Linked DNA regions of Anolis sagrei. The protein of the gene in region 1 purifies or fractionates together with the protein of each later gene. This does not show direct contact. Links are inferred from orthologs where the notes say so. Each region holds a gene or a part of one and is shown in the gene's direction. Other genes may lie near its edges.

Region 1 (7,912 bases):
AATTTCTATTATGAGCTATCCCAGCTCCCATTAAAACATTACTAGAGAATGCTACTGGTTATTCCTGCCTATTATTAACTCCCTGCAAGGTGTAGCCTCTTTATGTCACTGATACTGAAGCCAGTATCTTACTGATAGTTACTTAACAAACTTAAGAGAGTGCAAAAGAGTCCTTTAGGGTGTTGCCCCAATTAGATTCAACACTCCCTTATTGCAATCATGATCCTTTCTAAGATTTTTTTTCAGTTCCATGTGTTTGTCTCAGAGGTAACTCCCACACTTTTGAAAAGAACTTAACCTCCTGTGGGTGTACGCAGAATTGCGCCACAATGGATTTTACTGTGTGGAAACTTTTCTCCCTTTCTTTTTTCAAAACCTGAAAGCTGCAGGCCAAATTTTTTGTACAGCACATAAATTAGCCACATTTTATTTTGTTAGTTTGTAGACTGCTTTGGTCCAATTCTAGAAGAAGGGTGGGATATAAATTAAACAAACAAACAAATAAGAAGCATTGTACTTACCTGGAGGATGAGGTCTGTTGTAATGAATAGTGGAGATCACATATCCTTCCTTCTAGCATAGAATCAAGTGAAAACTTATCCCCCCCCCTTGTTTCAGAATTCTTTATTATTTATATTCTACCTTTCTCAAGGTAACTTACAATTTCATGACACAACCAATAAATTTAAAAACATGGCAAATACAAAAGTTAAAGAACAATTAAAAGCAATTAAATAGTTGTGTCATGTATTCAAAATTATGATTAAGATTCAATAAAATAACTCATAAAATTAAAATTAGATTTAAAATGAAATATCATCCCCGACTCTCCTTCCAGCCTCCCCTGCAGCATTCCCCTCTTCCTTCCCCAATTGCCTGCTGGCAGAGAAAAGTCTTAATTTGCCTGCAGAAGGCCAGCAGGGTCTCTCCTGGGAGGGAGTTCCATAGTCTGGGAGAAGCCACTGAAAAGGCCTTCTCCACTGTTCTCACCAAATGCACTTTAGCAGGTGGTGAGACAGACAAGGCCCTCTCTAGTAGATCCTAGATATCTAGCAGGTTCATAGAAAGATAAGGGCTTTGTATCACTCTGAATGGTTCCCGGAAATGTGTTGACAGCCAGTGGAACTGCTACAACAAAGGAGTTGGACACCCCCTGTTGCCAACCCCGATTAATAACCTGGCTACTGCTATTTGGACCAGCTGAAGTTTCTGAGCACTTTTCAAAGGTAGCCCCCCATAGAGTGCATAACAGTAGTCCAAGCAGGCTGTAACCCACACTGTGGCCAGATCTGACTTCTCCAGGATTGGGCACAGTTGGCATACTAGCTTTAATAAAAGACTCCTGGTTACTGCTAGTACCTAGGCCTCCAAGTTCAGAACCAAATCCAAGATTATCCCCAAACTGTTAACCTGTGTTTTCAGGTGGAGTGTGACCCCATCTAACACAGACTGAATCTCTGTTCCCAGATTTGTTTTACGACTGACAAAGAGCACCTCTGTCTTGTCTGGATTAAGCTTCAATTTGTTTGCCCTCATCCAGTCCATTGCAGCTGCCAGGCACCAGTTTAGCACAGGAACCACTTCCTTGGAAGTAGGTGAAAAGGAGGCAAACTGGAACTCTGAGGGACTCCAGAAGCCAGTACCTTCCAGACCCATTCCAGAAAGGCAACTCAGAAGGATACCATGGTCAATGGTATGAAAAGCCACTGAAAAGTCCAGGAGAACCAACAGAAACACACTCCCCTCTGTCCAGTTGTCCATGTATGTCATCCACTAAGGTGACCAAAGCTATCTTATTATTTATTGTTAACTTTATTAATATCCCACTTTTCTCTGCATGGGGACTCAAGGCAGCTAACTATCCCACACTTTGCCCCTTATCCTTCCCCAAATGCCTGCTGGCAGAAGAAGTTCTTGACCTGTCTGCAGAAGGAGAGCAGGAATGGGGCCATCCTGGTTTCTCTTGGGAGGGAGTTACACAATTTGGGTGCAGAAGTCCCTCTCCTATGTTCCTTGAGTGTATGGTGTGACAGAGAGAATGCCCTCCCCAGTCGATTGCAGATGTCTCCCAGGTTCATAGAAAGAGATACAGTCCTTCAGATCTGGAACGGAGCTGTGAAGGGATTTGTAGACCTTTGTCCTATAACCAGGCCTGAAACCAGATTGAAATGGATATAGACTATCATTTGCGAAGTTGAATTTCATATGGAAAATGACTCAAAGAGTGTGGCTCTTTGGTGGGGAATGTAAGGGATGGTAGAAGTCACATACTTTCCTCTCCAACATATCCTTCAAATGTTCCACTATTCTTTGGTTTATATACCAGCAAGATGCAAATCCCAAATACAAGTGACCTTTTTCCTCTGCTGGAAACCGCATTCTCAATCCAACTCCAGTCACTATGGCTTGTAACTGTGCTTAGGATCACTATTTGGGCTGCAGTCTTTTATAGTTGCTCCCCACATTTGAAGGTTTGACTTTTGAAGATTTGATTATTCATGGAATTGATTAAAATGTTCTTTATATGACTTGGTAGGACCACCAATGCGATGGTATGCTTAACTTCCATAGACATTGACCATAAAATCATGCTAGAGGATCTAGACATTCCTAGGGAGGGATTACCTTCCGTAAAAAATTAACACTATATGTAATATACTTTGTGTACAGTTTTGAAGATATAAACCCTTGGGATAGAGATTTGTTAATGTAAAAACAAGCAGAAATAAATAATTTGCTGGCTATAAGGAGGAGGAAGAAAATGCTAAATTATAGAGAAATAGGCAAAAGTGAAGCAGGAAATCCTCTCTTAAAAAACAGATTTATGCATGCAAGTTTCTATTTTAAAGTTATATGTCATTAGAGTAGAGATGCACATTTGTAGGAGAAATTGTGTAGCTAGTTATACAGTTGTCATTTATGTATGTGTATATATATCTGCTATATGCCTGTGAGACGTAGACTATCTACAGATGTCTCATGCAACTCCTAGAACAATTCCATCAGTGTTGCCTCTGAAAAATATCTTGGGAAGACAAGCAGACAAATGTCAGCATGCTGGAAGAAGCAAAGACCACCAGCATTTAAGTGATGCTCCTCTGTCATCAACTCTGCTGGACCATGTTGTCCGTATGGCCAACCACCGTCTCCCAAAGCAGTTACTGTACTCCAAACTCAAGAATGGAAAATAGAATATTGGTGGGCAGGAAAAGAGATTTAAAGATGGGCTCAAAGCCAACCTTAAAAACTGTGGCATAGACACTGAGAACTGGGAAGCCCTGGCCTGTTAGTGATCCAGCTGGAGGTCAGCTGTGAACAGCAGTGCTGCAGAATTTGAAGAGGCACGAATGGAGGGTGAAAGAGAGAAACGTGCCAAGAGGAAGGAGCGTCAAGCCAACCCTGACCGGTACCGCCTTCCATCTGGAAACCGATGCTGTCACTGTGGGAGAAGATGCAGATCAAAAATAGGGCTCCACAGTCACCTATGGACCCACTACTAAGACATCGATCTTGGAAGACAATCCTACTCGGACAACGAGGGATCGCCTAAGTAAGTAAGTATGTAAGTTTTTGTTTCTTTGGGTTTCTTATGTTAAATTTTAAATTAAGAAAATGAATATATATATATACATATATATATATAAAATTCCAGTTATTATTATTATTAATAATTTATTTCTATCCTACTTTTCTTCGAGATTGGGACTCAAAGAGGCGAATAAAATGGGAACACAAACATTACAATCATTAAAAAATAATCAATTAAACCACAACATCTCATTAAAAAATTATAAAACACGCAATGCCATAATAAAGAAGTAGTAAAGAAGTAATAAACAATCAATAGAATTAAAATCGCATCAAGTAGACAAGAAAAACAATAAAAAGAGCATTTTTGGAATGGATGGAAACTCAGTTCAGCACCATGGAAAGCTCCCTTAAACTCTGGAACAGAAACCAAGGCGGATTTCTGGCCCTCCTCATTGGTCCAAGTGATGTGCAACACAAATATGTTACAAATTAACTCAAAAGCCCCAAAATGCACAAAGTAGAGCAATGGGCCTAGAAGTATTTTTTTTTATTTAAGAGAATTAAGCTATTTGTTTATTGTAGTTTCTCCTCTTAAAACGGCTGGGTATATCCCTAACCCCCCCATGCTAACTAATGGATTCGTCCATAGAACGTTGCGAATGGCTCTATTAAAGAATATGACGTTCCCTTCAGTTTCAGGGCCTTTCCATTCTCTGGCCGGGGGGGGGGGAGGAGAGTGCTATTGACAGCACTGCGCCGGAATGATTGGCAGGAAGGAAACACACACATACACATACACCCCTCCTTTTTACTATCACTATCCTCTCGCGATGTCAGCGCCTGCCTCCCATTCATGAGGACTCGCGAGGCTTGGGTTCCTGTTCCCACGCCTGTTGTGTCTGCCTCTTGAGACGAGGGAAAAAGGGAAGCAGCTGGGAGTCAGTGAGCAGAGCACGTGGGCGGGGCCAACGTTCTGCCTGTAGCCCCGCCCCTCGGCCTTTTGTTTTTCTCGCTCGTGCGCGTGCGCGTTCTCGGAGGGAGGGAGGGAAATGCGGGATGCGCGCGCCTTTCCTGCTAGTGGCGGCGGACACATTGGCCGCTTCTCGCGAGAGTAGGAGTTTTGGCGAGAGTTTGTGGAAGATGGCGCCTGTTGTGACAGGGTGAGTGCGGGGGGGTTCGTGGCATAGTTGCTCCGTAGTCGGTTCCTCCCGCTCTTTCTCGGGCCGCCGGGCCTCGGCCTCTCGGCTGGCACTCCTGGCCTCCCACTGGGGCCGGGCTTTCTTCCTCCTCCGGGAGGAGCGTGTGTGCGGTGCGTGGGGTTGTGTGCGAGGGCGGGTGGCCGGGGGGAGGCCGCGTTGCTCGGCCGTTGAGGGGCGAGGAGTGTGAGGGGTTTTCTGCCCGAGTTTCCATAGGGACCCTCGTGCCTGTGAGGGCCCGGTCGCTCCTCTGTGGAGCCCCTGGCTCACTCCGAGTTCCCAGCGGGGAACACAAAGCGAGAGAGCTGAGGGACCTGCTTTCTCTTCTGTCAAAACTCTCCCGCTTCGAAACCCTTCTCCAGACAAAGCACAGGGTGGCTTTTTAGGGCCCAGAGGACCCATTCCGGTAGACATCTGACTTGGCCACTTGGTCCATGCACTGTTTACTTAGGCGATCCCTCGTTGGACGAGTAAGATGGTCTTCCATGATGGGTTTCCTTGTGGGTTCGTAGGTGGCTGTGGAGCCCTTGACCCGCATTTTCTCCCACAGTGAAGGCATTGGTTTCCAGGTGGAAGGCGGTCCCGGTCGGGGTTGACGCGCCTTCCTCCTGGCACGTTTCTCTCTTTCACCCTCCACTCAGTGCCTCCTCGAATTCTGCAGCACTGCTGGTCACAGCTGACCTCCAGCTGGAGCGCTCAAGGGCCAGGGCTTCCCAGTTCTCAGTGTCTATGCCAGAGATTTTAAGGTTGGCTTTGAGGCCATCTTTAAATCTCTTTTCCTGTCCACTAACATTCCGTTTTCCGTTCTTAAGTTCAGATTAGAGCAACTGCTTTGGGAGATGGTGGTTAGGCATCCGGACAATGTGGCCGGTCCTGCGGAGTTGATGGCAGAGGACCATCACTTCAATGCTGGTGGCTTTTTCTTCTTCCACGCTGACATTTGTCCGCTTGTCTTCCCAAGAGATTTGCAGGATTTTCCAGAGGCAGCGCTGATGGAATTGTTCCAGGAGTTGCATGTGACGTCTGTAGACAGTCCACGTTTCGCAGGCATATAGCAGGGTTGGGAGGACAATAGCTTTATAGACAAACACCTTGGTATCCCTACGGATACCAGTATGCTGATGACAATGTCGTCTGTGCGCATTCAGAAGATCTACAAGCCACTCTAAACACCTTCGCAGAAGCATATGAGAAGGTTGGCCTGTCACTGAACATTGAAAAAACCAAAGTGCTGTTCCAGCAGTCGCCAGCCATCCCCTCCCCAATGCCAGAGATACAGCTTAATGGTGTAACATTAGAAAATGTTGACCACTTCCGCTACCTTGGCAGCCACCTCTCCACCAAAGTCAACATCGACACCGAAATACAACACCGCCTGAGCTCTGCGAGTGTAGCATTTTCCCGAATGAAGCAGAGAGTGTTTGAGGATCGGGGAGGGGGGAGGGGATGCACTGCTTACACTGGCCTCGGCGCTGACCCTGGAAGCTCAATTAAAGCTTGTGCACCAACTGCGCCTGTACCTCGAAAAGCCAGATCTGGCCACGGTGGTCCATGCTTTAGATAAGTGATTCCCAACCTTTGGGCCTCCAGGTGTTTTGGATTTTAGCTCCCAGAGTGGTAAGCTGGCTGCGATTTCTGGGAGTTGAAGTCCAAAACACCTGGAGGCCCAAAGCTTTAGTTACATCTCATATGTATTCCTGCAATGCTCTCTTCTTGGGGCTGCCTTTGAAGACAGCTTGGAAACTACATCCAGGATAGACTACTGCAACACGCTCTATGTGTTGCAGTACGCTTCTCTCCTTATGAACCTCTCAGGACTTTAAGATTGTCTGGGAAGGCCCTGCTCTCGGTCCTGCCTTCATGACAAGCATGGTTGGCGGGGACGAGAGACAGGGCCTTCTCAGTGGTGGCCCCTCGGCTATGGAACGCCCTTCTTAAGGACATCAGATCGGCCCCCTCCCTTTTAACATTTCGGAAGAGAGTTAGAATCATAGAATCATCTCTCCAAGAATTTTGTCCATAGCTACAGGTTCCAAAAACTGAAAGTTATCCAAGAAAACAGGACAAAAAGGGACCAAGGTTAAATAGAGTCATAGAATCATAGAATCAAAGAGTTGGAAGAGACCTCATGGGCCATCCAGTCCAACCCCCTGCCAAGAAGCAGGAATATTGCATTCAAATCACCCCTGACAGATGGCCATCCAGCCTCTGTTTAAAAGCTTCCAAAGAAGGAGCCTCCACCACACTCCGGGGCAGAGAGTTCCACGGCTCTCACAGTCAGGAAGTTCTTCCTTATGTTCAGATGGAATCTCCTCCCTTGTAGTTTGAAGCCATTGTTTCGTGTCCTAGTCTGCAAGGAAGCAGAAAACAAGCTTGCTCCCTCCTCCCTGTGGCTTCCTCTCACATATTTATACATGGCTATCATATCTCCTCTCAGCCTTCTCTTCTTCAGGCTAAACATGCCCAGCTCCTTAAGCCGCTCCTCATAGGGCTTGTTCTCCAGACCCTTTATCATTTTAGTCGCCCTCCTCTGGACATATTCCAGCTTGGCTCTTTGAGCAGGCATTTGCAAATAAAGGGTAACAGAAATAGAAAAGTGGAATGGTTAACAATGTGACTGGACAATGTTTTTAATGAGGAGACCCTAATGATACATTTTTATTGATTCTGTTATGGTTTTATTATTCGATTGTTTTATTATATTGAAATTGTATTTTATGATGTTGGTACCAACTTGGTGTTGGTACCATCGGTCCCAAGTTGCCTGCGGGCTGAAAGGGACAGTATATAAATATAGTAAATAAATAAAATAAATAAATACGTGGGATTGCCTTTGAAGACTGCTTGGAAGCTTCAAATAGTTCAACGAGAGACAGCCAGGTTATTAACTGGGGCGGCATACAGGGAGAACACAACTCCCATGTTATGTCAGCTCCCTTATTGCCTGTTTGCTACCACACACATTTCAAAGTGCTGGCTTTGGCCTATAAAGCCGTAAATGGCCCCGGCCCAGTTTATCTGTCCCAATGGATCTCCCTTTACGAACCACCACAAAGAATAAGATCTTCTGGGGAGGCCCTGCTCTTGGTCCTGTCACAGGCGCATTTGGCGGGGACAAGAGTCAGGGCCTTCTCAGTGATTGCCCCCCGTCTATGGAACTCCCTTCCTGACAATATTAGTTCAGC
Region 2 (8,175 bases), on another chromosome or scaffold:
GCAAAGGCCAATGTGCTTGCCTCACCTGTCGAGGAGGGGCTTGTCGGGCCCGCGCTGCTGCTGCTCCTCGTCGTCCTCCTCCTCCTCCTCGGGGCTGGCACTGCCCAGGATGCGCTTGCGAGCCTCGGCGTACTCGGCCTCCCTCTGGGCCAGGGACTTGACGGGGAAGGCGGGCCGGCTGGCGGTGCGAGGGCTGCCCAAGACCCCGTTGCTGGTGGGACGCTTCAGGATGCGGATCTGGGGAGGGGGCCCCGCCAAGGGAAGGCCCTCGTCCTGCAGCACCACTGGGGGGGCCTTCGGCGGGGAGCGCGGCTTCCGGCTGCGGAAAGAAATAGACTGAGCCAGTCAGGACGACAACGACGTGCTAGGACAGGAAGGAAGCAGCAAATAAATAATAATAATAATAATCTTTATTTATACCCCGCCACCATCTCCCCGATGGGGACTCGGAGCGGCTTATATGAGGCCAAGCCCAAACCGCAAATTACAATAAAATAAAACTGAAAATGCAAACAATAACAACAACATAATTACACAAAGCATGTGAAAACATAGCAATATAGAATTACAATAGGCACAACCAAAGGACAAAGGGTTTAGAGCAGGCATGGGCCAACTTCAGCCTTCCCTCCAGGTGTTTTGGACTGCAACTCCCACCATTCTTAACAAGCCAGTCGTAATAAAAGTGAATGTTTGTTGCGCCAGCTCCACTGGCTGCCAGTTTGCTACTGGGCCCAATTCAAAGTGCTGGCTTTGGCCTATAAAGCCCTAAACGGTTCTGGCCCAACTTACCTGTCCAAACGTATCTCCCCTTATGAACCACTTAGGACTTTAAGATCATCTGGAGAGGCCCTGCTCTCGGTCCCACCTTTGTCACAAGCATGTTTGGCGGGGGTGAGAGACAGGACCTTCTTAGTGGTGGACCCTCAGCTATGGAATGCCCTCCCTAGGGAAATCAGATCTGCTCCCTCCCTCTTGACGTTTCGGAGGCAAGTTAAAACATGGCTATTCGAGCAAGCGTTTACAAATACAGAGTAGCTAATATAGGAAATCGAATGACCTGACAATGGAATTGGACAATGCTTGAGAATAATGAGACGCTGATGATGTTGCTTTTATGACGTTTTATACTGTTTAATGTTTTTTATCTATTACGTTTTATGTATACTGATTTGTTAGAAACCGCCTTGAGTCGCCAATTGGTGGTATACAAATACGGTAAATAAATAATAAATAAATATGTATGTATGTTTGTGGGCAGTGGGCAATGCGGCGACGTTTAGCAAAATATTTAATAGCAATAATGGATACACTTCCACTTTGAGTCTCCTTCGGGAGAGATAAAGTGGGGAATAAATAAATTCAATAATAATAATAATATTATAATAATAGATAACATAATATATAATGGTAATATATTGTAATACCAATAATGGATACATAGCCACTCTGAGTCTCCTTTGGAAAAAATAAAGTGGGGTATAAACGTTTTAAATAAATAAATAAATAAAATTATAATATTATAATAGACAACATAATAATATAATATATAATTATAATATATTATAATAGCAATAATGGATACATAGACACTCTGAGTCTCCTTTCGGAAGAGATAAAGTGGGGTATAAATAAATACAATAATAATAATAATAATAATAAGAAGAAGAAGAAGAAGAAGAAGAAGAAGAATTTAATAGATGACATAATAACACAGTATATAATTATAATATATTGTAATAGCAATAATGGATACATAGCCACTCTGAGTCTCCTTCAGGAGAGATAAAGTGGGATATAAATAAATACAATAATATGATAAATAAATATAACCATAAATATAATAGATAATAATAATGTATTGCAATACTAATAATGGATACATGGCTTTGATTCTCCTTGGGGAGAGATAAAGTGGGGTATAAATAAATACAATAATAATAGATAACATAATAACACAACATATAATTGTAATATATTGTAATACCAATAATGGATACATAGGCACTCTGAGTCTCCTTCGGAAGAGATAAAGTGGGGTATAAATAAATACAATAATAATAGCATTATAATAATATACAACATAATAATATAATATATAATTATAATATATTGTAATAGCAATAATGGATAGACACTCTGAGTCTCCTTCAGGAGAGATAAAGTGGGATATAAATAAATATTATAATATTATAAATAAGTATAACAATAGATAATATAATAGATAATAATAATGCATTGCAATACTAATAATGGATACATGGCTTTGATTCTCCTTTGGGAGAGGTATAAATAAATACAATAATAATAGCATTATAATAGATAATATAATAACATAATATATAACTCTAATATATTGTAATAGCAATAATGGATACATAGACACTCCTTGGGGAGAGATAAAGTGAGGTATAAATAAATATAACAATAATACCATTATAATAGATAATATAATAATATAATATATAATTCTAATATATTGTAATAGCAGTAATGGATACATAGACACTTTGAGTCTTCTTCGGGAGAGATAAAGTGGGGTATAAATAAATAAAATAATATTATAATAATAGATAATAATATAATATATAATTCTAATAGCAGTAATGGATACATAGCCACTCTGAGTCTCCTTTGGGAGAGATAAAGTGGGATATAAATATAGTATAATAATAATAGATAATATAATCTATAATAATCATAATACCAATAATGGATAGCAAGCTAGTAAATACATCAAATGTAGAGCAGGCCTTGGCCAACTTGGGCCCTCCCTCCGGGCGTTTTGGACTCCAACTCCCACAATTCCTAACAGCCTACCGGCTGTTAGGAATTGTGGGAGTCCAAAACGCCCAGAGGGAGGGGGTCCAAACAAAGGGAACTCCTCACCTCTCCTTCTGGCTGATCTTCAGCTTCTTCTCCAGCCGCCTGTCTATTTCCTGCAAGGCAAAAAAGGGGCGTTTGAGGAGACCCCCCTCAACGAAGGAAGCCAGGCCTCCTCCCCCTTGAAGGCAGGCAGGCAAGCGCACGTGGGAGGGCGCGGCCCCTTTAAGAGGCCTAGCAGGCGCCCCGAAGCCTGCGCCTCCTCCTCCTCACCCCGCTGTCGGCCGCCTCCTCCCAGCTCTCCGCGACCTCCTCATCTTCCATCGTCAGGCCCCTCCGCCGCCGCCAGCCCGCTCGAGGCGCATGCGCGCTAAGCCGCCCCTTCCTTCCTTCCTTCCCTCGCTCCCCTTCCCTTCTTTTTGCCCCTCGCCCTCGCCGCCGCTGAGGCTCCTCGCTCGCCGCCCCCCGAACAAGAGCGCATGCGCGGCTTCCCGGGCTCCTACCCTTTTCGTCGGGCGGAGCATGCGCGGTTGGAGCCGTGCCCTTCCTCGCTCCGCCCCATGTAGGGAAAGGTGCCCGTGTGCGCGTGCGCAGTGGCGCCCCTGAGAGCTCGGGCAATCCCTTCAGCCGTGTGGCGCATGCGCAGTATCCACATGTGCCTGCATGTGGAAAGGTGGGGGTTCGCGCGTGCGCAGTGTCGCCCCTCGCTCAGCGCAGGGATTCCTTCTCAATGTCTCAATGTAGAAAGGTGCGAGGTCGCGCGTGCGCAGTGTCGCCCCTCGCTCAGAGCAGGGATTCCTTCAGCTGTGTGACGCATGCGCAATATCTCTATATGTCTCAATGTAGAAAGGTGCGAGTTCCCGCGTGCGCAGTGTCGCCCCTCGCTCAAAGCAAGGATTCCTCCAGCTGTGTGACGCATGCGCACTATCCCTATCTGTCTCAATATAGAAAGGTGCGAGTTCGCGCGTGCGCAGGGTCGCTCCTCGCTCTGAGAGGGATTCCTTTAGCTGTGTGACGCATGCGCAATATCCCTATATGTCTCAATATGGAAAGGTGCGAGTTCGCGCGTGCGCAGTGTCGTTCCTCGCTCTGAGAGGGATTCCTTTAGCTGTGTGACGCATGCGCAGTATCCCTATATGTCTCACTGTAGAAAGGTGCGAGTTCGCGCGTGCGCAGTGTCGCAGGGATGCCTTCAGCTGTACGGCGCATGCGCAGTATCCCTATGAGCCTCTGCGAACGGTGCGAGTTCGCGCGTGCGCAGTGTTACCTCTCGCTGTGCGAGCAGGGATTCCTTCAGCTGTGTGACATATGCGCAGTATTTCTATATGTCTCAATGTAGAAAGGTGCGAATTCGCGCGTGCGCAGTGATTCCTTCAGCTGTATGGCGCATGCGCAGTATTCCTATGTGCCTCCGCGAAAGGCGCGAGTTCGCGCGTGCGCAGTGTCGCCCCTCGCTCTGAGAGCAGGGACTCCTTCCATATCCCAAAGTGTCTCCACTCTCCGTGTGTAGAGAAAGTGCCAATTCACGCATGCGCAGTGGCGCCATTCACCCCGAGAGCGGGCATGCATTCAGCGGCGTGGCGCATGCGCAGTATCTTTAGGTGCCTCCGCTGCTTCCATATAGGGAGGGGCCGGTTTTGGTTTTGCGCGTGCGCAGTGGCGCGAATTCCTTCACCAGTGTGGCGCATGCGCAGTATCCCGAAGTAGGAAAAATCGGATACACGAAAGAACCTGAATTCCTTCACCAGTGTGGCGCATGCGCAGTATCCCAAAACACCGAAACTGAGTATTGGTCGATAGGGGGAGGAGCCAAGATGGCGTCACAATCCTTCCCAAGATGGCGCCGCCCTGACGAGGGGGCAACCAAGATGGCGCCCGCGCAGGCCCCACGTGACGGCGGGAGGCGCCTGCGCGTTGGCCTCGTCCCCGCCCCTGAGCCGAGCGATGGCGGCGGAGACGGTGGCCGGGAGGGCTCAGGCGGGGGAACCCCGAGAAGGCGGCTGGCGCTGCTGTGGGCGCCCGGCCCGGAGGAACCGAAGGCGGCTCTGAGGAGGGAGAGGGAGCGCGGAAGCGGCAGGTGAGGCCAGCAGCCCCCCTTCCGGCCCCTGGCCCCGCCCTCTCGTGATGTGGCAGAAACGGAGCGCCCCGCTGAGAGGCGCCCAGGCCTCTGGACTACAACTCCCAGCAGCCCCCGCCGGTTGGGACCACGGCCGGGCATTCTGGGAGTTGGAGTCCCTGAGGCCTGTCCCGCCTCTCCAGACAGTAGGCCTGGGCCTTCCTGTGTTTTGGACTCCAACTCCCAGCATTCCCAACAGTCTATAGAATAGATCCAGGCCTGGTGTTTTGGGCTCCCAACCAACATCCTATAGATCAGGAATGGGCCAACTTCGGCCTTCCCTCCAGGTGTTTTGGACTCCAACTCCCAGCATTCCTAACAGTCTATAGAATAGATCCAGGCCTGGTGATTTGGGCTCCCAACCAACATCCTATAGATCAGGCATGGGCCAACTTCGGCCTTCCCTCCAGGTGTTTTGGACTTCAACTCCCACAATTCCTAACAGCCTACCGGCTGTTAGGAATTGTGGGAGTTGAAGTCCAAAACACCTGGAGGGAAGGCCGAAGTTGGCCCATGCTTGCTAAAAATTCAGACCTGCTGTCGGGAGAATCCAGGTGTTTTAGACTCCCGATTCCTAACAGCCCATAGCGTCAACGATGTCTTGTTTAATAGACACCCATGAAATCATTCCGTTTTCCGTGAACTTCCATCACAACGTTTCCACGTAATCTCTCTGTACAACGCAATCTGTTTTGGATTCTGATTTGTAAACAATCTCCCTTGCTACAATCTCCCTCGCTCCTTATCGCTCAGCTCTTCACTCGACTCTTTATTAGTTGTTGCTATTTCTGACTCCTCGGAATAAACGCCCTCGAGGCCCCTGCTCTTCCAGAGTCAGTTTAATCGACACCCATGAAATCATTCCGTTTCCCGTTAATTTCCTTCTCATTTTCACTCGACTCCTTTTTAGCTCTTGCTATCTCTGACTCCTCGGAATGAACGCCCTCGAGGCCCCTGCTCTTCCAGAGTCAGTTTAATTGACACCCATGAAAATATTCCATTTCCCGTGAATTTCCTTCTCATCTTTACTCGACTCTTTATTAGCTGTTGCTATTTCTGACTCCTTGGAATGAATGCCCTCAAGGCCCCTGCACTTCCAGAGTCAGTTTAATCGACACCCATGAAATCATTCCGTTTCCCGTTAATTTCCTTTTCATCTTCACTCGACTCCTTTTTAGCTCTTGCTATTTCTGACTCCTCGGAGTGAACGCCCTCGAGGCCCCTGCTCTTCCAGAGTCAGCTTAATCGACACCCATGAAATTATTCCGTTTCCCGTGAATTTCCTTCTCAACTTTTCCACGCACTCTCTCTGAATGGCACAGTCTATTTTCAGCTGTGATTTGTAAACGATCTCTGTAAGTACAGATAGTTTCCCATGGGAACCTTCCTTATCGCTCAGCTTTTCACTCGATCCCTTATCTGCTGTTGCTACTTCTGACTCCCCTGAATGAATGCCCTTATCCTCATTTCCTAGACTTGAATTTCCCAGACTTGAGAGCCCATCGCTTTGTGCCACGGGAAAGCCCCAAATCCTCTCTAAATCATCAGTGAAACCACCAGCTTCTGGTGGCTGATCTATAACAGTTGGAAAGGTATCTGTCAGGAGGGCTTTGTTCCTTTCTTGCTTGGCTCTGATTTGTAAACAGACTTTTGTTGATCTCCATAGTTACAGGTGGGTTTCCCTGGGAACCCTCCTTATCGCTCAGTTCTTCACTCAATTCCTTATCTGATGTTGCCACTTCTGACTCCTCTGAATGAATGCCCTTGAAGCCCTGCACTTTCTGAGCTAGTTTATCCATAAAGAGAACCATCATTTCCTATACTTGAATTTCCCAGACTTGAGAGCCCATCGCTTTGTGCCACGGGAAAGCCCAAAATTCTCTCTAAGTCATCAGTGAAACCACCAGCCTCTGGTGGCCTATCTATAATAGTTGGGCAGCTATCTGTCAGGAGGGCTTTGTTCTTTTCCTGCTTGGCTCTGATTTGTAAACAAAGACTTTTGTTGATCTCCATAGTTACAGGTGGGTTCCCCTAGGAACCCTCTTTATCGCTCAGTTCTTCACTCAATTCCTTATCTGCTGTTGCTACTTCTGACTCCTCTGAATGAATGACCCTGAGGCCCTGCACTTTCCGAGCCAGTTTTCTCACAGAATTATAATTGTTTGTACTGGCATTGAATTTTGCCATTACTTATGTGTAAACTGCTTTGAGTCCCCCTCGGAGTGAGAAAAGCGGTATACAAATACCGTAAAAACAAATAAATAAATAAATAAATAAAATCATTTCTCAGACTTGAGAGCCCATCACTTTGTGCCACAGGAAAGCTCACAATCCTCTCTAAATCATCAGTTATACCACCAGCCTCTGGTGGCTGATCTACAATGGTTGGGTAACCATCTGTGTCAGGAGGACTTTGTGCTTCTCCTGCTTGGCTCTGATTTGTAAACAGACTTTTGTTGAACTCTTCAGCTGCAGGTGGGCTCCTCTGGGAACCCTCCTTGTCACTCAGCTTTTCACTCGATCCCTTATCAGCTGTTGCTACTTCTGACTCCCCTGAATGCATGCCCTTGAGGCCCTGCACTTTCCGAGCCAGGTTTCTCACAGAGAGAACCATCATTTCCCGGGTTTGAGAGCCCATCGCTTTGTGCCACAGGAAAGCTCACAATCCTCTCTAAATCATCAGTTATACCACCAGCCTCTGGTAGCTGATCTACAACAGTTGGATAACCATCTGTGTCAGGAGGACTTTGTGCTTCTCCTGCTTGGCTCTGATTTGTAAACAGACTTTTGTTGAACTCTGCAACTGCAGGTGGGCTCCTCTGGGAACCCTCCTTGTCACTCAGCTCTTCACTCAATCCCTTATTGGCTGTTGCTACTTCTGACTCTCCTGAATGAATACCTTTGAGGCCCTGCACTTTCCGAGTTGGTTATCTCACAGATAACTGGATTTGAGAGCCCATTGCTTTGTGCTACAAGAAAGCTCACAATTCTCTCTAAACTATCAACGTCTGGTGGCTGATCTACAACAGTTGGATCACCATCTGTCAGGAGGGCTTTCTGCTTCTCCTACTCGAAATCAGGAGGTTGAAGTATACAGAATGGGGGACGCCTGGCTCGAGAGCAGTACGTGTGAAAAAGATCTTGGAGTCCTCGTGGACAACAAGTTAAGCATGAGCCAACAATGTGATGTGGCGGCAAAAAAAGCCAATGGGATTTTGGCCTGCATCAATAGGAGC
Region 3 (7,328 bases), on another chromosome or scaffold:
ACATGGACATTTTTATTGAACATTTATTTCCCTTAGTTTGATCATGTTAAAGTAAATGAGTCAATGCCATTACCTTCATGTTTCCAGTTCATTCAATGAAAGCAGAAGTTAAAATCCTTTAAGATAATTTTTTTCAAGTCCTTCTTTCTTGTTGGTGGAAAAACCACAATGAGGCCATGAAATCTATATGTTGGCCATGGGCACTGCCCAGGTTAAACAGTATTCATAATCAGCCTAACTTTGGGAGCAGATTTTGGTTTAGGGTACAAAGATTAAGGTTGGACCGTCTTCTTGCTTTAGGCCTTAAATTGTCTTCAGTATGAGGTTTGTCTTCTTTCTTTTTACAATTTCCCCTGTGGTTTTAAAAGCTCCTTCCTCTTTCTATCTGTTGCTGTGCAATTCCTTCAGAATGCAGCTTAGTTGCTGTAAACTACATATGTTCAACTCACTGTTCAGTCTATAGTGTGCTTTTTTAAAAAAAACAAAACCCTGCAAACCTAGAATTACTTATTTCTGGGTTCTAAACACTGTGGAATGGACAGTGTTGCTAATTTTCTAATTGTGCCTGTTGTATGTACATTCATTCACAGTGATCAGGCAATCTAAATAGACTTACATTGAATGGAAATATCAGTATTTGAAGCTGAGGAAGGAGCATGTGAAAACTCATTGGGTCTATGAAACATACTGCTATTCATGTATCAAACCATTGTGAATGTAGGGATTTCCAGTTCCAGCTAAATAAATTCTTAAAAGTGTATTGCATTTGAGTATCTAACCATTCAGAATCCCACTTTGAATGGATTGCAGATGATCATCTTAAATATCTCTAAAGATGAAACTCAGTTCTGGTGGTGAGAGATAGGAGATAATAGAAGAAAAATGCTTCATCGACAGTAGGCTACTGTTTGCTCATAGGGGCAAACCTGTTGTAAGTGCACTGAATACAACACTTCCAAGTTTATCAGAGAAACCAAACTGAGAATTTTGCTGCCTGCAAAATATGACTGTCGTGTCCAAACATGTAATCATAAATGTGCTATGGAGCTTCTTGATTTAGTCAGTGCATAGTTTGTTTTTAAATGAAGCTTTAAAATCTACTTAAGGACTATTTTGCTTTTAAAAGCCAGATTGTTGCATCTTGTAACATTTTCTAGTTCCTTGATTTTTCCACATGCTGCCGCATTTGAAGCTACAGAACTTGCAGACTGTGCTTGAATCATTTGCTCTTTTTAGTTGTTCAGGCACTGGATAAAAATACTGTTCATAGCTGCCTCGCATCCATTTTTTTCTGCACTTGCATTGGGTATTTAACAACTCGGAGTTAGAACTAATTTTAATGCTTGAGTTAATGCTGTCTTTTGAAGAAGCTGTTTTGTTCCTTTATTTTTCCATAGAACACATATTCCTTTCTTTCCAAAATAGTTGCTGAAATGAACTTCTTTTTAGATAATGTCAGGAGGCAATGCTTAATCTAAAGCTAAAGGTGTAATACGTTTGATATTCACAGGGGTTTCTCCAGAATGCTCTGCTGTTTGCATGTTTTGGCTTTTTTATGTCAGCAAAATTTGCAAAGGCACTACAATAACTTTTGTTTTTAAAGTTTATGTATTTCAAAAATCTTGATCCCAATGTGTCTTGGTGAATCCATATTACAGAATATTCTACACCAGGAAAATATCATATCTGCTATCTTGAAGTTAAACAAGAGTTCATGTATTATGAAGTTGTTGAGTTTCCAAATAATTGAAGTGCTGTGACTTGAAGGATGGTTATTTTTTTAAGTTTGAAGAAAGTATATTTGGATGTATGAAATATTTTGTGCTGATAGAGTTGAACTGATAGCAGGAAAATAATTCCATATATTAAGACCATATAGAAAATGTATTATTGCACAGAAGGGAATAGCAAGGTGAATGGGATGTTAGACTACTTACTTGATTTTTATTTTGTTCAGAAAATAAAGACCATCACAGCAGCTTCAAATCCATTGGTGTTAGTGTGTTGGGTAAAAGTAGACACTTTTTCATCAAGATAACGTTCTTTGATGAACAACTGGTCTTTCTGAAAATAACACTGCAAAGTTGCACATGTTTAAAATGCTGATGTAAAATGCACTGAGTTTCATATGTGGATGTTGCAGATGACAGGGGAATCATATACAATCAACCATTAATGAGGAAAAAGTACCCTGGGTCTTGAAAGCTTAGCTCCACTTGATTTGTGGCAGTAAATATGGTGCTTTTTCTTGGCACCCTTCTGCCTTCTCTTCAGCTATAGTCTTCTAATGCCAGTATTGCCTCCATACAAGTTTCAGATGCAACCCCCCTTAAAGTGTTGGAAAAAAAGACTGTGATTTTCTCATAAGTCCTGACTGTTATAAAAATGATAAATCTGAAGATGCAGTATGCATATAAATATATTGGTTAAGTTATGAACAAATGTAAGCATACTCTGATTAATAAAGAAACATAAACCACTATTTTCTATTGTCTAGTTTACTATAATGTTTTTAATCTTTGGAGTTTAGTATTAGGGCATGAATAAGAGACCAAATGGTTCTGAAAGAACTAAATATCATGCAAAAAACATGTTGGTCTAGCTTTCCGTTTGAGATGTACTGAAAATACATCTAGCTTAATGTTTTAAAACAAAAGATTCCATCTTGATTCATTTGTAGATTTCCGTGTGTGCCCATGCCTTCAAGTCATCTCTGTTAGGCAAGGAATATTCAGATGGTGGTTTGCCAATTCCTTCCTCTAAAATCTGGCACTCGTTGACTGTTTCCCATCAAGTACTGTTCAGAGCTTAACCTGCTTAGTTTACACAATCAGCTGAGATAATAACTTCAGCGTTAACTAAATTGAATTAATCGGTATTTTTTTTAAAAAAAAATAGTTCAAGTAAACATATAATGAGCTTTTAGAGGTCTAAGTCACCTGAATTATTTTAAAAAATTGTCTTGCTCTTCAAAATGTGTCTTATTCAGTCTGTTAGTATTGGTAATTATGGACATGATGGGAAATGCAGTTCTACAAGCTGTCAGGAAATTTATTTCAATTTATTTATTTATTTCCATTCAATTGATAAAACCTTGTTCTCCAGTTTGCTTTGTATATCTTTTGCTGTGAGGTATATTGTAATGGTTAGAAGATGCACGAATGCAAAAGCTTGAAAAGGTCATTAATTGAAGTCTGAAGGGGGGGGGGGGTGTCTTGTAAGTACTGTTTCTCTAGTAATCTTTTTAAAAGGACAATCTGATTTGACTTCTGGCTGTCCTGAGGGGAGCTCTGTCCTTTTTGTACTCTATGAAGTCGCCTCTCCCAGCTTTCCTTTTCCCATTCAGAGGAACAGCATACAAATATAAGAACTTCCTAACGATGAGAGCTGTTCAGCAGTGGAACTCTCTGCCCCAGAGTGTGGTGGGGGCTCATTTGGAGGCTTTTAAACCAGTGGGTCTCCAGATGTTTTGGCCTTGAACTCTCACAGCAGGTAAATGGCTGGGATTTCTGTAAGTTGTAAGCTGAGGGGACCAACAGGTTGAGAAATAATGCTGGGTGGGCATCTGTAGGAGGCGGGGGGCTTTGAATGCGATTTTCCTGCTTCTTGACGGGGTTAGACTGGATGGCCCAGTAAGTCTCTCCCAACTCTAGGATTCTATGATTCTAGCTTCCATTTGATTGGGCGGGGTCAATCATGAAGCCCCGCCCCTTATCTTCTTCCGGAAAGGTGGGGGGAGGGGGAGACGGAAAAGCTCGGGTGAAAAAAAGTTCCCTCCTTCCCCATCCCGTCCTCCTCCTGCACTATTGGCTGGCCCGAATGCCAGTCAAAGCGCAGCAGCCAGTGAGCTCGCGGGTCGTGACGCCGCCGCCGCGTCGGGAAGCCCGCCCCCTCGGAGCTGGGGGAAGGGAGGCAAAGGGGGCAAAGCCATTCCAAGATGGCGGCGGCCGAGGCGAGGATAACAATGGGTCTGGGGAGGCCGGGGCGCCTTTGGGCCTGAGGCAGGGAGCGGGGCCTGGTGCGGCCTAGCGGAGGAGAAGGAGGCGGCGCTGAAGTTGGGACCAAGGGCAGGCCGGTGCTCGGACATGGCGCCGCCGCCCCCGCCGGCTTGGTGAGTCCCTCTCCCTCGTCTCCGTCCTCTCCTCTGGCCTCGCCTCCTATGGTCCTGGCCCCTTCCCCGATGGCGGAGTTCGCGGTGCCGCGGCACAGCGCGGTGATGGAGCGCCTCCGCCGGCGGATCGAGCTCTGCCGGCGGCACCACAGCGCCTGCGAGTCCCGCTACCAGGCCGTCTCCCCGGAGCGCCTGGAGCTGGAGCGCCAGCAGACCTTCGCCCTCCACCAGCGCTGCCTCCAGGCCAAGGCCAAGCGCGCCGGGAAGCACCGCCAGCCCCCGCCGCCCCCGCAGGCCCAGGCCCCACCAGCCGCGGCCTCCGCCGGAGCAGCCCCCTCGGCGCCCGCCGCCCCCGCCGCGCAGGCCCCGGGCCCCGCCGCCCCCTCCTCCGCCCCCGCCAACGGGCTGGACGCCGACGCCGCGGGCGGGGAGCAGGCCCAGCAGCAGCAGCAACACGGGGGCCGGAGCAGCAGCAGCAGCAGCAGCAGCGCCCTCATCGCGGTGAGTAAGGAGCAGCAGGCCCCTCTCGACCATTTAAAAGGAAGTTCTACTTCCAAGTGAACTCTCCCCCGAGTTTGAGCGCCTCCCGGCCTCTTTCCTTCTCTCCCACCCTGGGCAGGAAGCAGCCAGGCAAGGCACTGCTCCCCCACCGCCTTCCCTTCTCCCATTCAGGCACCAGTCCTCCCTCTCTCTCCTTGGTAGGCAAAGTCCCCACTCCTTAGACTTCCAGTTGAGTTGAGGACAAAATAAGAGTGTCAACTGATTTCTTTCAAGTGCCAAGGCGATATCTTGGCTCCTCCAGATTAACGTGGTGTTGTTTTTGTTGTTATTTGTTTATTATTTATTTATTTACTCTATTTAAATACCGCTTTTCTCACCCCAGGAGAGAACTCGAAGCGGTTTACAACAAATAGTGGCAAAATTCACCCTCACATACATAAGAAGCCAAATAATAAATCTAAACAAAATCAAACAAGAAGTAAATATGGAATATGTGTAATGGACATCTGGAATGGCCCAGTCTATGAGTTTGGATCATGTGATTTTAATGTTTTTATTAGGTGTCTGTAATTTTTTTACTTCAGGTTTAAATGTCCTATTACATTAATAACATTACAATATAATGGTATGGTACAATATAGTAATATATACTGATATTGTACTTTGCTAATAATATAATATAATATATTGTATAATATAATATAATATATTGTATGAAAATATATATTGTAAGCCGCTCTGAGTCCCCTTCGGGGTGAGAAGGGCGGCATATAAGCATCGCAAATAAATAAATAAATAAATAAATATTATCTTATGGGGAATTAGCCGTATTGTATTTTATGCTTAGTCGTATGCTGTTTGATTTATGATTTGGTTGATGTATGTAAGGCAGGCAGCCACAAACTGCGGCCATTCAGATGTTTAGGCCCCTCCATCTCCCAGAAGCCTAATGACCTGGTTCAGTTGTCAAAAATTCTGGGAGTTGAAGGCCCAAACAGCTGGAGGGCCACAGTTTGAGGATGCCTGATGTAAGGCATTGAATTTTGCCATTAGGTTTTGTAAACGGCTTTGAGTCTTCCCAGAGGTGAGAAAAGCGATACATAAATATTGTAAATAATAAATGAATAAATAAAATTGCATTAAAATCAATAAGACAATTTAACATAAGATAAAACAAAATTTAGGCATGAGGACATAAACATTCAAACCACCTAATATGAACATTAAAATCACATGATCCAAACTCTTAGACCAGGGCCATTCCAGACATCGATTGCACATATTCCATATTTATTTCTAGTACTGCGTTACTTTATTAGCCAAAAATTTGGCTCCATAACTATATCTTTGTTCTCTTTCTAAAGGCCAGGAGGGAGGGCACTGATCTAATCTCACTGGGGAGAGAGTTCCAGAGCCAAGGAGCCACCACTGAGAAGGCCCTGTCTTTCGTCCCCACCAACCGCACTTGCGAAGCAGGTTTTACTGAGAGCAGGGCCTCCCCAGAAGATCTTAACCTTTGTTTTAACAACAGCAACAACAACAATGTTGTGAAGAATGTAAGATCTGGCTTGAGGGGCCAGAGTAGGCCTGCAAGGTTGTTTTGCCTTCATATCCTCTCTTCCTCCCTCCCCTTAGAATAACTCCTTGTATATCAGCATGTGTCCCTTTCACCTATTTAGAAGGAGGTTATATTTTGAAGTGAACTATGAACCTTCTTCCCCTGAGTTTGAACAGAGTAAAACTGAAATACTAGGTGGCACTGTTGTCCCTCCATTGCATCTTGAATTTCCCGTTCTGGGCAGGAAGTCGCACAACAGCCCAGTAACCAGTCAAGTCAAAAGAGTAATTGTTCTGCTATTCACTTAAGCCTTGCCCATGGATGACATCTTCTCCCATTCATTTCGGGCACAAATCGTCGTCCTAGTTGGTAGAAAAGTAGTAACTCCTAGACTTGCAGTTGAATAGTGGCCAAAATAAAGGGTACACTGGATTCTTTCAAGTTTCAAGGGGAAAACTTCAGTTTATTGCTGTGTTGTTGTTGTTTTTTTTTACTGTTACTCACTTTTATAACAAAAAGAGGAACTAGTGAAATGTAAGATCTGACTGCAGGGGCTGAAGTAGACCTGAGGGGTTGTGTTGCCCCCAAGGCACCTCCACCCCATCACCCTTTAACATAGCTTCTGGTGTGTGTGTGTATGTGTGCCTTATTTAAAAGGAAGTTGTCCTTTGAACTATGAACCTTCTTCTAAGTTTGAACAGAGTAAAATTAAAATACTAGGTGGCACTTTTGTCCCTCCATTGCATCTTGAATTTCCCACACTGGGCAGGAAGTTGCATGCCTGCCCCATAACTATTCGAGGCAAAAGAGTAATTGTTCTACTGTTTACTCTCTTGCCCATGGATAGTGTCTTCCTCCCATTTATTCCAGGCATAAATTCAATTCCCTCCTACTTGTTGAGAAAGATATGTTGAGAAAGTAGTAACTCCCAGACTTAGAGTTGAATTGTGGCCAGAATAAAGGGTAGACTGATAGAGTAGACTCTCAGCTAACCAGCACCTGTGTGGATTGGAATATTGCAGATAAATGTAGTTTTTGGTGACTAGAGAATTACCATTAAACACAGACCTAACTAATACCAGGCCCTACTCTGCACTATCCTAGAAACATGGTAGGAAACATTGTTATCTTTCGGTATCAATGGTTTACTAACCCCCC

What was found.
Region 2: the proteins of RBPJ (region 1) and FBXO42 purify together in Homo sapiens (affinity purification with mass spectrometry; 3 studies listed by BioGRID and IntAct, counting the BioPlex papers as one, with this or other methods). This does not show direct contact. The link is inferred for Anolis sagrei from reciprocal best matches to the Homo sapiens genes RBPJ and FBXO42.
Region 3: the proteins of RBPJ (region 1) and MAML1 purify together in Homo sapiens (co-immunoprecipitation; 12 studies listed by BioGRID and IntAct, counting the BioPlex papers as one, with this or other methods). This does not show direct contact. The link is inferred for Anolis sagrei from reciprocal best matches to the Homo sapiens genes RBPJ and MAML1.

The regions. Positions count from the first base shown.
Region 1 is NC_090025.1:113,055,810-113,063,721, forward strand, and holds the start of RBPJ (recombining binding protein suppressor of hairless), read left to right. Parts: upstream 1-4,560; 5' UTR 4,561-4,587; coding exon 4,588-4,691; intron 4,692-4,753; exon of another isoform or gene 4,754-4,840; intron 4,841-7,912. UniProt on the Homo sapiens protein: Transcriptional regulator that plays a central role in Notch signaling, a signaling pathway involved in cell-cell communication that regulates a broad spectrum of cell-fate determinations.
Region 2 is NC_090033.1:7,742,172-7,750,346, reverse strand, and holds the start of FBXO42 (F-box only protein 42), read left to right. Parts: upstream 1-4,726; 5' UTR 4,727-4,900; intron 4,901-8,175. Other genes in the region: SZRD1 (SUZ RNA-binding domain-containing), read right to left, coding at 26-319, 2,890-2,939, 3,097-3,147. UniProt on the Homo sapiens protein: Substrate-recognition component of some SCF (SKP1-CUL1-F-box protein)-type E3 ubiquitin ligase complex. Specifically recognizes p53/TP53, promoting its ubiquitination and degradation.
Region 3 is NC_090022.1:86,839,429-86,846,756, reverse strand, and holds the start of MAML1 (mastermind-like protein 1), read left to right. Parts: upstream 1-3,879; 5' UTR 3,880-4,159; coding exon 4,160-4,612; intron 4,613-7,328. UniProt on the Homo sapiens protein: Acts as a transcriptional coactivator for NOTCH proteins. Has been shown to amplify NOTCH-induced transcription of HES1. Enhances phosphorylation and proteolytic turnover of the NOTCH intracellular domain in the nucleus through interaction with CDK8.